3 linked regions of the Caenorhabditis elegans genome follow. The protein of the gene in region 2 purifies or fractionates together with the protein of the main gene of each other region. This does not show direct contact. Each region holds a gene or a part of one and is shown on either strand. Other genes may lie near its edges.

What was found. The genes of interacting proteins can lie anywhere in the genome.
Region 1: the proteins of npp-12 (region 2) and sir-2.4 fractionate together in Caenorhabditis elegans (co-fractionation; one large-scale study listed by BioGRID). This does not show direct contact.
Region 3: the proteins of npp-12 (region 2) and npp-5 fractionate together in Caenorhabditis elegans (co-fractionation; one large-scale study listed by BioGRID). This does not show direct contact.

The regions. Positions count from the first base shown.
Region 1 is NC_003279.8:5,989,192-5,993,191, forward strand, and holds sir-2.4 (NAD-dependent protein deacetylase sir-2.4), read left to right. Parts: upstream 1-1,549; 5' UTR 1,550-1,553; coding exon 1,554-1,619; intron 1,620-1,966; coding exon 1,967-2,173; intron 2,174-2,229; coding exon 2,230-2,402; exon of another isoform or gene 2,403-2,515; intron 2,516-2,746; coding exon 2,747-3,044; intron 3,045-3,302; coding exon 3,303-3,437; 3' UTR 3,438-3,475; downstream 3,476-4,000. Other genes in the region: C06A5.3 (PWWP domain-containing protein), read left to right, coding at 13-291, 741-930, 977-1,151. UniProt on the Caenorhabditis elegans protein: NAD-dependent protein deacetylase.
Region 2 is NC_003279.8:6,445,485-6,453,314, forward strand, and holds the start of npp-12 (BIG2 domain-containing protein), read left to right. Parts: upstream 1-1,819; 5' UTR 1,820-1,847; coding exon 1,848-2,002; intron 2,003-2,050; coding exon 2,051-2,199; intron 2,200-2,241; coding exon 2,242-2,606; intron 2,607-2,654; coding exon 2,655-2,916; intron 2,917-2,962; coding exon 2,963-3,141; intron 3,142-3,207; coding exon 3,208-4,491; intron 4,492-4,541; coding exon 4,542-5,466; intron 5,467-5,515; coding exon 5,516-5,885; intron 5,886-5,960; coding exon 5,961-6,117; intron 6,118-6,163; coding exon 6,164-6,342; intron 6,343-6,409; coding exon 6,410-6,927; intron 6,928-6,976; coding exon 6,977-7,305; intron 7,306-7,348; coding exon 7,349-7,664; intron 7,665-7,709; coding exon 7,710-7,830. Other genes in the region: T23H2.3 (Transcription termination factor 2), read right to left, coding at 1-58, 369-860, 912-980.
Region 3 is NC_003280.10:11,596,242-11,601,466, reverse strand, and holds npp-5 (Nuclear pore complex protein 5), read left to right. Parts: upstream 1-1,657; 5' UTR 1,658-1,661; coding exon 1,662-1,767; intron 1,768-1,823; coding exon 1,824-1,936; intron 1,937-1,984; coding exon 1,985-2,191; intron 2,192-2,243; coding exon 2,244-3,267; intron 3,268-3,313; coding exon 3,314-3,762; intron 3,763-3,943; coding exon 3,944-4,189; intron 4,190-4,245; coding exon 4,246-4,542; 3' UTR 4,543-4,700; downstream 4,701-5,225. UniProt on the Caenorhabditis elegans protein: Involved in kinetochore assembly and chromosome segregation during embryonic mitosis.

The sequences.
Region 1 (4,000 bases), 460 kb from region 2:
CAAAGTTTTCAGAAGAAGAAGATGATGGATATCCTTCATTGAAACGAAAAGTTGGACGTCCCTCTAAAAATGATATCAAAATTCGATTAAAAATGCAAAAAGAAGTTGAAGAAAAGCAAGCAGCTGTAAATGCTGCACGAGCTTCTCAAATGGCGCTTGATGCTGCTGCAACATCGTCTGTTCCACAACAAAGAAGAAAGTATACGAAAAGGAAGAAGGATGGTTTGGGTGCAGGAACTGGAGGAAAAAATAGAGATTATAGTCCATTTGAGGATGATGTTAAGAAAAGATGTACGTTTTTTGTCCTCTAAATGTTTAACGATAGTGATCAATCAGAAACTAGCGTGTTATCGAGAAAAAAAAATTTTCAAAAAATTAACCATAAAATTCAATTTTTTAAAGATCAAATTTTGGGTTGAAAGGCATAACAAAACACATAAGAAAATAAATAAATTTATTCTGAAAAAGAGAAATTACCCAAATTTCAAGAGATTTTTCGAAATATCGAAAAAAAAACAATTTTTTTGTTGATTTTTTCAATTTTTAGAACATCGAAAATTGTAGATTCTTTTCGAATAAAATTGTATGTGTTCTGTTTTTGCTGATAAAATTGAATTTTTTTGTAAATTTTCTGAAATTTGTTTTCAATTTATCGGTTGTCTTTAAAAACCTCAAAAAATCGGATTTTTTTCGACGGCGCCCATGATCTAAAAGATTTTTGAATACTTTCTTTTCTTCAGCGACATCTCCTCTCAATGATCGTTCCGCATCATATCGACCGTGTGCAATGGAGAAACGTGCAAGATGGTGGACTGGAGAGAAAAGGAGAGTCGATGCATCACCAGAACGAGAATTCGGAACAACTCCCGCTGATTCTGCAGCTGCATTTCGAATGATGGCTCATGCTGTACGGTCTGCTGCTGTTACAAGGTACCAACCTGAATTTGAAGTTTTATAAATCGTTAAATATTTCCAGAGCTGATGAAGTTGGTACTGTAAATGGTTCACTTGATCTTCTAATGGATTCTCTTCTTGGATCAATAGGACCACTTCTTGCAAATTTGACAAAACTTCCAGTATTTCAAGGAGATCAGGAACTAGCTCAACAGCTATGGAATGCATCGGCTGTTCATATTCCAACATTTCAATAAAAGCAGCTAAAAATGCTAAAAAAAGGTGCTAAATATTGAAAATCCTTCGACCATTTTCTCTCATTATAATGTCTCAGATTTGTATCATTGTTATAATCATTTAGATATCAACTAGTATTATTAATTTTCTCAATTGTCTTTTTTTTGTATTAGCCGACTGTCTACGTTCACTACCTCATTGTTCAATGGTTTTTCTCTCACTGTCAGTACAAAACTAATAAATTTTACTGTTCCCCTATAAAAAACTGTGTTTTTTTATAAAATACAATTATTATGTATGGATTCAAGGCTCGTGAGTTTATTTTCGAAAAAGGCAACTTGCTAGAGAAGAAAATTCATCGATTTTCAAATTAGCCAGTTTTATCAGAAATTGAAAGAAATGAAGAATTTGTTTTCAGAAAAATGACATCAGTTTATGAAAGTCTTTTATCAGACTATCCAGACAAAGGAGTAATTGGAAAACCTGAGGTATTAAAATTAATTCTGAATTTTAAAAAAATTGAAAAAAAAAAGAAATTCTCATCGATTTTGCACTTAAAACACACTTTTTTTTCAAATTAAAAATTGCTAAGAACAAAAAAAAAGAACTTTGGATTTATCTTAAAGCCGTAAAAAGTTTGAGCCCAAAACGCAAGTACAAAAATGTTCAAAAAAAGGTATAATAGAATTATCCCTTTTCGCCAAAAAAAAACTTTGAATAATCACATTTTATAAAATACAAAAAAAAAATGAAATCTGCAAAATACAAAACCGTTTCGAGTAAGAAAAGATTTTTTAAACACAATAGTATAATATTTCTTATTCAAAATTTTCAGATCCGAGACACTGAAACTGAAATAATTGAGAAACTCCGCACTTTGTACAACCATTTCGTCCAAGCTAAACAAACCGGAAAACCAATTTTTGTTCTTATCGGAGCCGGTGTGAGCACTGGATCGAAACTTCCAGATTTTCGAGGAAAACAAGGCGTTTGGACATTACAAGCTGAAGGAAAACATGCAGAAGGAGTGGACTTTCAAGTTGTACGTTGTTTAATAAAAAAAAAACATTTCTTAAATATAAATAAAAATTTTGACAGGCTCGTCCCGGAGTCTCACACAAATCAATATTGGCACTTCACAAGGCGGGTTACATCAAAACGATAATCACACAGAATGTTGATGGATTGGATCGAAAAGTCGGGATTCCAGTTGAAGATCTCATTGAAGTACATGGAAATTTATTTCTAGAAGTCTGTCAATCATGTTTTAGGTATATTTTAAAAATCAATCCACGGAAAACTCGACCATCTTCATAAAATGAGTTAGGTGCATTCTCTCAAAAATCGGTTCGGTGGAACTATTGAAAACCCATCCAAGTCTATTGTAAGTTTCAAGTTTCAAAAAGATCTAACGTGAAAAATAAAGAAAAAAGGTTCTTATTTTTCTAGCTCACTTCACAAAAACCGCCGTCTAAATTCTGACAATTTTAAAACAAACGGAATATATAGTATAAAACTTTAGCATCAAATATTAGAATCAATTAATTTACAAGAACATTTTTTGGAAAAGTCTTAAACTTTTCTCATCGAAAGTGTTAAATATATTGTTTTACAGTGAATATGTACGAGAGGAAATTGTAATGAGTGTTGGCCTGTGTCCAACTGGTCGTAATTGTGAAGGAAACAAACGAACCGGGCGATCGTGTCGTGGTAAACTTCGTGATGCAACTCTCGATTGGGATACAGAAATCAGTTTAAATCATTTGGACAGAATCCGAAAAGCATGGAAACAAACATCTCATCTTCTTTGTATTGGAACATCACTTGAAATTATTCCAATGGGATCTCTACCACTTGATGCAAAATCAAAAGGAATTAAAACAACTACAATTAATTATCAGGAAACTGCACATGTATGTTCATTCTTCCATTCGCAAAGTTTTCGTTGCGGCGATAGGGATTTTACTTTAAAATACGCAGATTTGTCCTAAATGTCCAAAAAATAATTTCAAAAAGTTTGAGAAAAACCACTGGTTTCGGCTCCCTATCTGAATCAATTTCTATCATGAAATTCAGGACCATTCTACGTATTTTAAAATTCCCGTCGGCGCTATTCCAATTTTAAATTCTCTTGAAGCTTCGTATATTTTAATGATTTTCCTTTTTTTCAGGAAAAAATCGTGGAAACTGCAATTCATGCTGACGTTAAACTTATTCTTTACTCATTATGCAATGCACTTGGAGTGAATGTTGATCTTGGAGATGATCTACCGGATGAAGTGCCTATTCCATTGAAAATTAGCTAAAACTGAATTATAATTGAATTATATAAATAATTAATTTTGGATTTCGTGTTTTTATTAAAAATTGATTGGGAGACAGCTGTAAGAGAGAAGACTAATCAAATCACAATTTTTGTTTGTTGTATAAAACATTTTTGGGAAAAGAACAAGAAAAATGGAAGAGTGGTGGATAAAAAGCGAATTTTTTCAAAAAATTCAGATTTTTGAGAATAAAATCTTTTGAATAAAAAGAAGAAAGGGTGCGGTGTGGGGAGGATCACAAGTGGGTTCTTCGAAGAAAAATTGCATCTGCTGAGGGGAAAACTTGATAAAATCGATAAAGCTAGAGTTCAATAATAAATCAAATGAAACAACTACGACACCCTGCTGTAAGTTTCTGGGTATTTTCCAGAATAAAAAATTATACAAAATTTGATGAAACGGGGGGATTTCTATATATTTATGAATTTCTTTGTAATAAATTCATTATTAACTATTGGAGGGACGGGGCTGTGTGTGGAGTAAAACCAAAATAAACCGATTGAGATGAATGAGAATATAGAACAAAAGAAAATAAGTTGATGGGA
Region 2 (7,830 bases):
TTCCAGAACTTGTTTCAACCGAGGGAAGAGTTGAACGGTTTGGCGGCGGAGAGGTATTCTGTAAATTTATATATTTTTTGACAATAAAGCTGAAATTTTGTGAAAATATCGAAAAAGAGGATATAGATAATAATATCAATTTACTATGTCACATACCGAAGCACTAGCCGATTCCGTTGGGCGAAAATTGGTTAAACACGTCAGACGTTGGCTTGAAAACTTGCAAAAAGTGATTTTCTCGCTTGAAAAATCGTTTTCTAGATAATTTCTGGCAAGTAAAATGTGAAATTTTGGATAAATATCGGAAAAAAGTAAAAGGAAATTTTGAATTTTGAGCCAGCTTTAGGTCAATGTTTCCCCATTCTTACCATTGAATCATCCAAATCGGAAGCATGCCGGAACGTCTTCGCAATTGGCGAAAAATGCGAATTTATGAGATCACTGCTTTCAAGACTGCTATTTTCACCAGTTCCCCATCCACTTCGCGATGAGCCACCTGTCAGATCTTGATCCGATTGCTGTTTGATGGATTTTCTGAGGAGCCGCTCACGGAGCTGCTGCTTTGCGCGGGGCTCATCGGATTCCTGTAGCTTCTTGGTGATCGGGGTCACTGGTTTTTCGAAGCTGTTGTCAATGAAGCTTCTCGAACGATAGTGATCGTCTGTGGAGCATTTAGAGCTCCCGTAGGTGGTGGAGGAACCGGTTCTGGAGATGCTCTGCTTGGAGTTTGGAGTTGATGTGTACACGGTTGAAGCCATGGAATTCAGAGAGGCATCAATAATTGTCCTGGGCGGCTCGGAGCTATCAGTTGATCTCATTGAAGCTGTTTCATCGACTTCAGATGAGGAGCTGTGTCTTTCCTGAAATTCAATAATTTTAAAGCAAAATTCAAATGTTAAACTCGAACAAACCTTGCGATCCTCGTCTTCCGACGAGTCTGAGGAATCAATAATGACGTGATTCTTACGAAACGATGCCATCCTGCAATAATTGTCGTGAAATAAAACAGTTCTGGCTTGAAAATATTGGAAAAAAGAACGTGTTAGGAAAATCTTAACGTAAAATACAAAATTGTGCCTTTAAAAGTGTTTTTCTGAAAACCCCACAAAAATTCAAGGAAAACTGCAAAAACATTTCTTCGCGCAAAAATGGAAGTGCAGTGGAGCGCGCTTGCAATAATTCGAGACAACACGGGTTTTCGTAAACCGGGTCTTGGAGACATAGAAACTCGAGAAGAAACGTCTCATTGTGCACTTTCTGAGCACGTTTTATTGAAAATATCATAAAGTAACTTAAAATAAATAACTGTCAAATAATTTCTGCTGATGAAAACACGTGTTGTCGCAATATGTGTCGAAATGAAAATATCAGGAAAAAACCATAACAAAGAGATCTACGAGCAAATTTGTTAGGTAAAATTTTTTTTGAGGTAATATGAATATATCTTTGATCGAGAAGGAAAAAAGCGCATTTTATTTCACGGTATTAATTTCATGTTTTTTCATGTTTTTTCCCCAATTACGCTTTTTCTTCAGATTCCGAATCTAGAATTATGAACTACGGTCACCAAATTGGTTCATTGTCGTGAAGAACCGCGCCGTGTTTGCGTACAACGAAATAATTTTGAATTTTTTCGCAGAATTTCAGTTTCTTTTTTCTTCAATCCGATCTGAGTTATCGCTAAATTTATTTTTTATTCTACTATTTATTTAATGCATGATCACTATAGTTAATTAACTTTAACTTTTATATTAAATACATAAATTTCTCTCATCTCCACCTGTTTTCCTTTTCCATAAGAGAAATTTTCATTAATTTTTTTGTAGGTAGGAGAGCCGAATAGATCAATGATTATACTTCGATCACTGCTCGTTTTGGCTTTAGTGCAAATCACAATATCATACCGGCTAAATGTTCCTCGAGTTTTATTACCGTACCATCCAACGGTCCCAGTTTCATTTGTGCTGGAAGTAACGCATCCAACCGGAGGTTGTTTTACATGGTAACTCAATGAAATGATCTAATTATTTTTTAATATATTTAATTGCAGGAGATCTACTCGTCCCGATATTGTCTCTGTTAAACGTATCGAAACTAACGAAGCTGGATGTTCGGATAAAGCTGAAATTCGATCGGTTGCGAAGCCTGGAACTGTTGGAAGTTCGGAATTGTCTGCTGTTATTTTTGCAGAAGATAAAGGTATAATTTTTGTGAAATGTTGGTTTTAAAATTTTTATTAAGGATCCGGCACAACATTGAGTTGCGGCGTGACAGTAGATGAGATCGCAACTATTAGCATCGAAACAACAACGAAAGTTCTATTCGTGGACGCTGCCCCTGCTCGAATGACTGTTGACGCATTTAACGCCGATGGCGATCGATTCTCTACTCTCAGTGAAATTGCATTGGAATGGGAGCTTGCATCAACATCTTCAAATAAAGCGAAACCACTACGAATTGTTCCATTCGAGCAATCAACATATGAAGCTCCTTCTGAAATTGTTAAACTGGAAAAGAATCGAAAGAAAGGATATCTAATTCTGATTGAAGGTGTTGGAACAGGAACAGCCACATTGACAACCAAGTTCAGTGATGCTTATTTGCAGGTGAGCAATCTGCAAAACTACATTTACCTAGGATGTTTTTTTTTTCAGAAAGTAGCAGCGCACAACGTCGAACTCGCCGTCGTCGCAAATTTACTTTTGGTTCCATCTCAAGATGTTTACTTGCCAGTTCACTCAGTTCTTCCATTCCAAGTTTTAATTGTCAAGCAGCGTGGAACAGAAATAGTGAACATGCCTAATCCGTCATACGAACTTCAAATTGATGGTGGTGATGTGGCGTCGCTCGATAAAAAAAGTTCATCTGTGAGAGCTCTGACGATTGGAAACACTGCAGTACATCTCTTGAGCAGCCGTGAGTTGCATAAATGGATGTTTCTCGTTCAAAAAGAATTTTTCAGATGTCGATGTGCGCGCTAAAGCTGGATTACGTCCACCATCTACTGTCATTCATGTGGTAGACGCCGAATCTGTCCAATGGCATGTTTCAGGAGATAATTGGATGCTAGAAACCGGAAAACAGTATACAATCAACGTTGAACTTCTTGATGAGCACGGAAATGTTATGTTTGTTGCTGATGTAAGTTAAGCTCTGAAAAATTGAACAAAAAACAGCTGTCAATTTTTAAATTTTACAACTTTTCAGAATTCCCGTTTCGACACTCATATCGATGAGCAATTTCTTCATGTGGATTTCAAGTCTGAGAATGGTACCTGGTTCCTTGTGACTCCACTGAAACCCTCAAAAACTACTCTTCGAACCAAATTTGTTGCTATTATTGATGCCAAGGGAAATCGAATTGCACAAAGTGGCAAAATTGGCGGAGAGCAGCGAGTAACTATCGTTGATCCTGTGAGAATTGTTCCACCGGTTATCTATTTGCCATTCGTATCTGAGAAAAGATCACAAATTGATCTAACAGCAACTGGAGGCAGTGGATTGTTTGAGTGGACTTCTGAAGATGGACACGTGGCAACGGTGGATCTGCTAACTGGAAGAATGACTGCGAATTCATTAGGAAGCACTAAAGTGAAAGCAACTGATAAGAGAAATGATCAGCTTCGTGACATTGCCAGTGTTCATATTCTCGAAGTGTCTGGAATCGGATTTGGAGAAACTGTCCGTGAGACATTCGTCGGAGATACTCTTACATTAAATATCAAGGCAACCGGACTCACATCTGATGGACTTTTAGTTGAAATGTCCGATTGTCGAAATATCCGTGCTCATGTTCAAATTACGGATAATGCGTTGCTTCGGCACGAGTCTTCAGCTGATTCGTCGCTTCCAATGATGGGCACTGGTTGTGGAACAATAACTTTCAAAGGACTGTCATCAGGAGATGCCCGAGTGTCCATCAGTTATTTGGGCCACAAAGCGAGCATCGATGTAGCAGTCTACGAGAAATTGTCTATTTCCGAAGAATCTTCATCAATTGCACTCGGAAGTACTCACCCATTGACTGTGTCTGGTGGACCAAGACCGTGGATTTTGGATCCAGCAAACTTTTACAAAACACAAGAAACAAAGCAATCGCAACTTCAAGTCACATTTGAAAACGAAAAAGTTTTGTTCAAGTGTGGATCTTCAGAAGTAACAGAAGCTGTTCGTCTTCGTATTGGAAACCTCAAATCGTCAACGCTTCCACTTCCAATTCACTCTGAAATTACAGTTTCGATTTGTTGCGCAAAGCCAACTCGTCTTGAAATTTTTGACAAGAAACAACGTCCATCCAAGTGCCCATTGAATGTTCATTCAATGCTTATCAATACAAATGTAGAACTCGTTCTCCGTGGATCAGGAGTTTGTAATGGAGCTGCAACTCCGTTGGCCTCAATCAACGGGCTTTCACCGAAATGGACTACTTCTGATTCTGGTCTTTTGACGGTTAATCGTCATGGAATTGAGGCAGATGCGACTTCTGGAAAGGTGAGTTGATTCTGAAAACTAAGTTTTTTTTCACATAAATATATTTATAGAAAGAAGGCCAAGTTACTATTCAAGCTCAAGCTGGATCTCTCTCCACTAAATATGAAATCACAGTGAAAAAAGGATTGAACGTCGAACCAGCACGTCTCGTTCTTTGGAATGAAGCTGTCTCAAAAGGAACGTTCACTATAACTGGTGGATCTGGCCATTTCCATGTCGATAATCTGCCAACATCAGATTCACCAGTTGCAATTGCTCTCCGTGCAAGAAGTCTCACAGTTACGCCGAAGAATAATGGACAAGTGAATCTTCGTATTTCTGATGCTTGTTTGGTTGGGCAACATGCCGATGCTTCCGTAAGAATTGCTGATATTCATTCATTGGCGATTGACGCACCGCAGTTTGTGGAAATTGGACAAGAAGTTGAAGTAGAGATTCTGGCTCAAGACGAAACTGGAGCTTCATTCGAAAAAGAACATCGTCCACTTGCTGACGCTCAACTCGATGCAAGTAACAATCATGTAATTTTGACCAAAGTTGACGGACTTCGCTACACTCTTCGTGCCAACTCAATTGGAACTGTATCGCTGTCCGCATCATCAAAATCTTCATCAGGACGTGTACTCTCATCTAGACCACACACCGTTCAGATTTTCTCTCCTATTTTCTTGCAACCAAAAAGATTGACTTTGATTCCGGACTCCAAATTTCAGTTAGAAGTCGTTGGAGGTCCTCAACCGACGCCACCACTCGATTTTTCCTTGAATAATTCAATGATTGCATCCATTGAGCCTAATGCACTTATTACGTCGTCAGAACTTGGATATACAGCAATTACCGGAACTGTTCGTGTTGGTGATGGTCATGTTACCTTGGATACTGTTGTTCTTCGTGTTGCCTCTCTCGGTGGAATTATTCTGTCAGCGTCAAGCAGGAAAGTGGAAACTGGTGGAAGAGTAAACTTACGATTAAGAGGTATGTGACACTTTTCTTTCAAAAAAATTAATTATTTTTTATTCTTCAGGAGTGATCGCCGGAGCTGAAGACGAAGAACCATTTGCTTTTGGTGGAGCCATTTACCCGTTCAAAGTAACATGGAGCGTTTCTGATCCATCTGTTCTATTCACAACTCATCCCCTCGGTGGAGATGTAGTCGAACCAACTGATAATCAATTTGCCATTTGGTTCAATGCTATTCGAGGAGGATCGGTTACAGTGAAAGCGGTTGTTGAGCTTAATGAGAAGGCAAGAAAGCATTTCACTGGAAGAACCTCTACTTTCACCGCTGAAACAACAATTACAGTGGAAGATGGACTTTCATTAGTTCAACCAGAAATGGATATTAATACTGTCAGAGTGGCGCCAAATTCTCAATTGAAGATGGTCACTGCATGGTAAGTGAATATTTTTGCAGATTGTTCTCCTTTTAAACAACTCTAATTTCATTAATTCAACTTTATTATTTACAGGTCTCAAGCATCTTTCTCAGTTCCTTCTGATTTCTCGAGCCGGATCGTCATTTCTGCGGACGGTCATTTGATAACAAACGGAAAAGAAGGATCAGCTGCAATTACCGTTCGTAATGTGAACAGCCCGGATAATGAAACTGTTCTCATTCCTGTGACTGTAAGAAACGCTATATTTTTGTAGATTCACTTTTCCCTTTTTTCAGGTTTCTCGTGTCGCTTCTCTCGATGTTCACCCAACAATTGAACTTAAAAGTGCTTTTGAGAATTCTCCACTCATACATCTTCCTGTTGGAGCCCAAATCCAGCTAAACGTTGTTCCACGTGATGCTCGAGGTCGTCGTCTTGCGGCTGCCTCCAACAGTATCAATTTCAGACCACATAGGTAAGGAAAATTCCGATCTTTGAAAATTGTTTTTTTAAGATCCAAGATATTCACGGTATTCTTATAGATTCGACTTGACCGATATTGTCGCCACCAACAGCAATCAGACACTGACAATCACACTGAAAACCGCTGGAGATACTGTTCTCAGAATTGGTGATGCTTCAAATACCCACATTGCTACATTTATTCGTCTTTCTGCGTCTGAATCAATCCTTCCTCGAGCTGCTCACAAGTATGCAAACGATCTTGTTGTATCTGATGTGATTTGTCTTCAATCAAACATTTTCACTGTAGACGGATCTCGCTGGTCGTCTCAAAGTTCAAGTGAAGGAAGAATCAGTTGGCTCGATGAGAATCTCGGAGTTGCACAACTCACAAAGGCTGGAAATACTTTTATCAGACTTCATGCTGATAAACAAACAATTCATTCGAAGATCTCCGTTGTATTGCCATCTTCTCTTCGTTTCCCTGATGGTCAGAAACCAGAGTTTGTGAGCAATGATGAGCATTCGGTATTCGTAATTCCTGTCATTGCTGCAACCAATAATACTTCAGGAAGCAAAGTTTCGTCAATTTATGGAGGTGAGATTTGCTGTTGTTTCACATTTCATCCTCATCTTTGTTGTTTCAGAGTGCACTGCTGATCAAATTCGATCATTTGATGCGATTGGTGCTCCATTTGAATGTCAAGTTGCTTTCACTCGTCGTTCGAAGATCATTTCGGCTGTCAATTGGCTGACGGTTTCAGCAGTTTTCAGCCCAGTTTTTGGTTATGGGTGTGAAATTCGTCGATTTGATTCGAGTGTCTCAACTTCATCAATTGTTGTTCCCGAGGAACTATTGAAAGATCAATTTGATGCTAGAATTACTGCGAAATGGATTTCAGATGGTACAGTACAAGTAAATGATGCTACAATTGATGTTCCATTCCATTTCGCATTTATTGTCGAGGAGAAGGAGGTCAGTTACACGAAGTTTTTTTTTAATATTTTACTTTTTCCAGCTCGTATTCTCAAATATGAATCAAATCGAAGCAGCTCTCTCCATCTGGGCGCCTACATACGACTCGAAGCACATAGTCGTTTCTGGATGTGAAGGAGATATTGTATCGGTCGAGAAAACCTCAAGATCAAGTGATAAACATTCTGCAAAGGCAAATGTGTTCTATAACATCCGTCTCAACATCAAATCAGCAGCTCTGTTCACTGAACATGCAAAGAAATGCCAAATTTCTGTTGAGAACACGTTGACTGGTCAAGTGATTCGTGTTCCTGTCACTGTTCAGTTGTTGGATGAGACTGCTAAACAAGTATACAACGGTAAGTTTCAACTACAGGATTCAATAAAATTCCTAATCGTTTCAGCACTTGAAAGTCGTGGGGTAGTAGATGTTCTTCTGATTCTTGCACATAAGTACTCTCACGCTATTCCAACGTTGCTGTGGACTTGTCTTGTCGGAATCATCATTCTAGTTATCGGAATTTA
Region 3 (5,225 bases), on a different chromosome or scaffold from region 2:
GTAAAGCCAAATGGTACAAATTGAGATTTTTCTGTAAAGTTTACTTTCAATGGAAAGCCTAAAACTAATTGATTTTTAATTGGCATACTATTAGAAATTTGTAAAAATTTTCATTAATTTAAATCTGAACGTTTATCAGCGGCTTTAAACATTTTGAAAATATGCATTAATTTTTTAATAAACGCAAAAAGTTGAAAATATCTGCGTATTTTTTGTTGTAATTCAACATGATGTTCGAAATTCAATACATCTTTTTTTTCTTCTTTCTTATGCTCCTCCTCTCCCACACTATCAAGTTTCGGGGGTCTTCTCTCTCGTTTTTTTTGCAGAACTTGTTCCAAACTCACCTTTTACCATTGCATTTTGTGTTGTCTTTTAACTGAAGTCGGCAGAAAAAAATCCGGTGATCGATTTTGGGAATAGGTGGCGACGATTTTGAAAAGCAGGTATTTAGCGATGAAAATACTCGAAATTAATTTTAACAAATATGATTGATAAACTAAAGATATGAAGCTACTAAATATGGCTCGGTGAGCTGGAAATAGTGGGTGAAGGAGTGGAGAGGCAGAAACAAAGAGAGACGAAAAAGAAGAGGTGCACTACGGCTCCCATGCAAAACTAGCATCTTTTCGTTTTTTTTTTTTGGTTTTCTTGTCGGTTGGTGTAATTGATGTGATGGATTACACTTGAGAAGCCCAAGGAAGGAAGTACCAAAAAAGGGCAAACATTTTTTTACAAGGAATCTTTTTTTTGGTCTATAGTCCCCTTATAAGGACTTTTTAGAGGAGGAGGTGTAGGTTTCTTCCCTAGAAACAGAAAGCAGTCCAACATATTGAATATAACTTTTTAAATAATTTATAGAATTCTCCTGAATTTTTAAAAAAATAACTTTTTCAATTGTTCGAACATAACAAAAATGGACAGGCCGCCAAAGTCCTAGGAGATTGATTGCACAAAGCCGCAAGCTTTTCGTACGAAATAGTGCTCCAGAAATGGTTCCATTCTAGTTATTAAATCAAAACTTTGGTCTATTGTCCTCTCCATATGTTTTTCTCTAATTTGAGTATACAATATACCCTGTTTTGTGTGCATTGAGCCTGTGCATAAGACGAACGATACGAACGGCCCCTCTCCTCCTTACATTCTTATACACAGTCTCAATTCACACAAAACATGTGGTTCAAAGAATATATCCTTATGTAAGTAGCAAACGCAAGCGTAGGAGCACGTATTGATCGATTTATAGACAGTCACAATGCACACAAAACAGATGATTTAGAGGATAGCTGCTACTGGAACGCAAAAATACGATGTGCTTTAAAATAAGAGCTCTCATCAACCCATAACGTCGGCTCTCATTTTTGTTTTTTATAGCTGATTGCACCTTATTAAACAATTTGAAGATGAAAGGCACTACTCGGAAAAGTTTCAAATTGCAATTTCTTCCATTTCTGTGTTTCAAAAAAGTTATGAAAACCTGAATAAACCCCTCTTTTTTGAAAGTCCGCGCATTGTGTTCTCAATGGAGCGCACTACCATTATTTTCGTTTAAGCAAAAATTTTCAAATTTCGAAGGGTTTTCGTCGTGTAAAACGATTTTTTTTTCTGTTTCATGTAGTTTTTAAAACTTTATTTTCCTTTAAAAAAATATTTTTAGCACAATGACAGACTTGTTCGCTTCGGGGGACAATTCTTCCAACTCCTTCGACGACTCTAACGATGAAATCGCGCGCAAAAATGAAACCGCTTTCAAATACACTACAATTTGTGAGTTTAACACTCGATGCGAAAGGAAAACTATTTTAAAAATATATAATTTGCAGTTCACACAAATCTCTCAGAAAAACTGTACCACGAATTATGTGCATTGGCTTTCGGAGAGTTCGATATTCCTCAAGGGCAAATCTCGCCACTTATGTGGACCAGACTTCATGAGGTTTGATTCACTTGAAAAAGGCCTCTGATAAATGTAATATTTTTTCAGATCTATTCAGAAGTAGAAATGCAGACTCGAAAACTTCCTGCAGGATCTAATTATTCCGCCAGTTCACAAAAATACGCGAATGAAGCCGTGCAAATCGCCAGTGTTCTTTCAATTTATACCGCGTTGGCTCATGAATATGATGAGACTGTGGAAGTTTCTTTGCTTAGCAAACTAGTTGTAGAAGATGTGGAGTTTAGAAGGATTTATGTAAGATCTTAGACTTTTTATTCAATTAAACACATAATTTCTAATTTTTTAGGCTCTTCTTCTTTGGAGTGAGAAAGCGATCAGCGAACAGCAATATGAAAAAGGTCTTGGAGACAAAGTTCGGAAACTCGAAGGAATCAAATCTTCTAGAATCAATTCAATGATGGCTTTGAAACGACCAACATTTGGAGCAGCCAATGCTCCAAAAGATGCTTCACTGGATCCAGATGCTCCTGGTACCAAAGAAGATCAAGCTCTCGAGCAAATGGCGATGAACGTTTTCTTCCAATTAATTCGAAGTGGAGAAACTTCCAAAGCTGCGAATTTAGCCATTGATCTAGGAATGGGAGCGATCGGAGCTCAACTTCAGCTTCACTCGATGCTCCGGAACCCACTTGATATTCCACTAGAGGCATCTAAACAGAACTTTGGGGAATATAAAAGATCTCGACGCGCAAAGTACTACCAGATGACACAGAAATTGATAGAACAATCGCAGGGGAGCGAAGATGATGCTTACTGGATGCTGATTTCTGCGATTCGTGGGAATATCCAACCAATGCTAAAAGCTGGAAAGTCAGTGATTGAAAAAGTATGGGCATATGCAAATTCTGCAGTTCTCGCAAGAATTCTTGCCGCCGAGGGAGCCATGACACAGGAAACTATTTCGACGTTGTTCAACGTTCCACTAACTTCAAAATCAATCTTAGATGAGCTGAGATCAGAGGCTGATCGTACCAAAGAAGTATACATCCTACTCCGAGTGATCGATGACATGCTCAATGATGACATTGAAGATCTGTACAAGTTCGCAAATGAAACAGTCGGAGAATTTGTTCCAAATGATAAAAATTGTCAAGTGAACATGCTCGCACTCGACATCTTCTTCCACCTCGTCGCAGTTTCTTATGCGAGTGGTTTCGAACCAAATGACGATGGAAATGCTGTAATTATTCTTGGATTCGATGATCTTCGTGCACGCAGTGGAACCTCATCACACAAGAAAATGGCTGCATTTTATTCAAGATTCCTCCCAGAAGATATGAAGCTTCCAGAGATTGTGGAGACTATGAAAGGTAATTTAAAAACTGATGATGATTTTTAAAAAAATTCTCTTTTCAGCTGTCGATTCTGATGAAGAACGTGAAATCCTGGCTGAGTCGCTGAAACAATCTGACATTGATTTCGGACGCTGTGCGTGCACACTTATTGAGCAAATCAGAAAAGATGACAAAACGAAGGTTGTAACTTTGGAAGAGCAGATTGATCACTGGCATTGGCTTTTGATAGGTGGAGAAGAGACTGCACTGGCTGCTCTTGAAGAATGTAATCGACTAGTTCGTAAAGTGATGCTGTCGACACCGATTGACGAGTCTGTAATTAGGCAAATTATTCGAAAAGCGCTTCATTTCGAAGTTCCTAAGCTATTGTCACAAGCTGTTGAAAATGAAGCAACTGTACTTTCACTGATCACTGATGGAACCCTGTTTGAGCAAAAACCTGGATCGCAGCTGGCAATTAATAAAATCGAACACGCGGCTCTGGAATTTTATGGGCTCTGCTCTTTCGTGGTATGATTTCTTATCCAAATCAGCGGAATCTTTAACCACTGGTTAAAATTACAGTAATCTTTAAAGGTGCAAACCGTCTCGTATTGAACAAAAATTTGTCGTGTCGAGACCCCGTACTCAAAATTTCGCTGCTGAATAATATTCAATTTCATATTGGCCATTTTAAAATCCGAATTTTCAGGATGTGAACAACTTCATGATCACTATTGCTCTGAAACTTGGGCTCATGTTCAAGTACACACCGATCACTGATGATGAGCTTTCCATGATCGGAGGAGTCAAACGACTCGACAACACCACAGCTGCTGACTGGGAAGCTTCACTGAGAGTCCGAGCTCGTGCTGAGCAAACTCTGCGGGAAGAGGTGCTCAAAAAGAGAGCCGCCGAGCATAATACGCGAGTTGGAATGGTTCAACAACATTTAGATGTAGGATTTTTAGAATAAATTGTTGTGAAAAAAATTTTAAAAAATTGAAATTTCAGACTGTTCTTCCGATGCTCCGTGGGCTGGTTAACAATATTGGTGTGCGCCCGGAGTACTTTTTGAGCCCACGTGCTAATGGAGATCCAATGCGTGTACACCGGAAAGAAATTCAGGAGATTCGGAATCTCTTCCTCCCGCAATTCTTCATCCTTCTTGCACAAGCCGCCGTGAGACTCGACGATACCACAAATTTCAACGATTTCTTCACAAGCTTCAATAATGACCTCGGGCTCGATCAGGAATGGATGGTTTTCATCAAAGCTTTCTACGCAGAACTCAATCTCAAAGTCGAATAATTTTTATTTCATTGTTTTTTTGTTTGATACCTGTTTTGATTACCATTTTTTATCACTATATTTCTGACTTCTTTCTCATTTTTTTTAAATTTCCGGTCGATCTTTCACAGACACGATTGTATCCGTGCAGTATTTGAAAATAACAAATTTTTCTGATTTCTGTGGGTTTCACGTGAAGATCTTCTTCAAGAAGAGGTCATCAGATTGCGGAAGATCTATATTACCGATCTGACGCAAGACTACCATGTATATTTGGAAAGGAAAAATTTTCTGTGCAGAGGTTGATGGTTTAAATTTTGATTTAGATATTTTCTTCATTTAATTTGAAAATTTCCATGCCTGAAAATATCCTCAGTGAGGATTCTCACCTACCGTATACTTAAAGGCGCACACCTGTCTCAACCGGAGCGTTGCGAGACCCGCGGCATCAAACTACACACTGTGTTTTGATGATCTTTCGATCGTTCTCGAAAAAAGAAAGAGCAGAGTTCATTAAAACAAATGGCGGCAAAATGTCTATAAAGGCGAGTCGTTCTCTTCATTATCTTTTGATTTTCGATGTGTTCTCCTTATTGTTTTGTTCGTTGACCCCTTATCTGCATTCTCACCGCTACGCAACGTATATTTAACGTCAGCTTTTTCGCAGAAAATTTTTCTATATTCTCATGCAAATTTACTGTTCT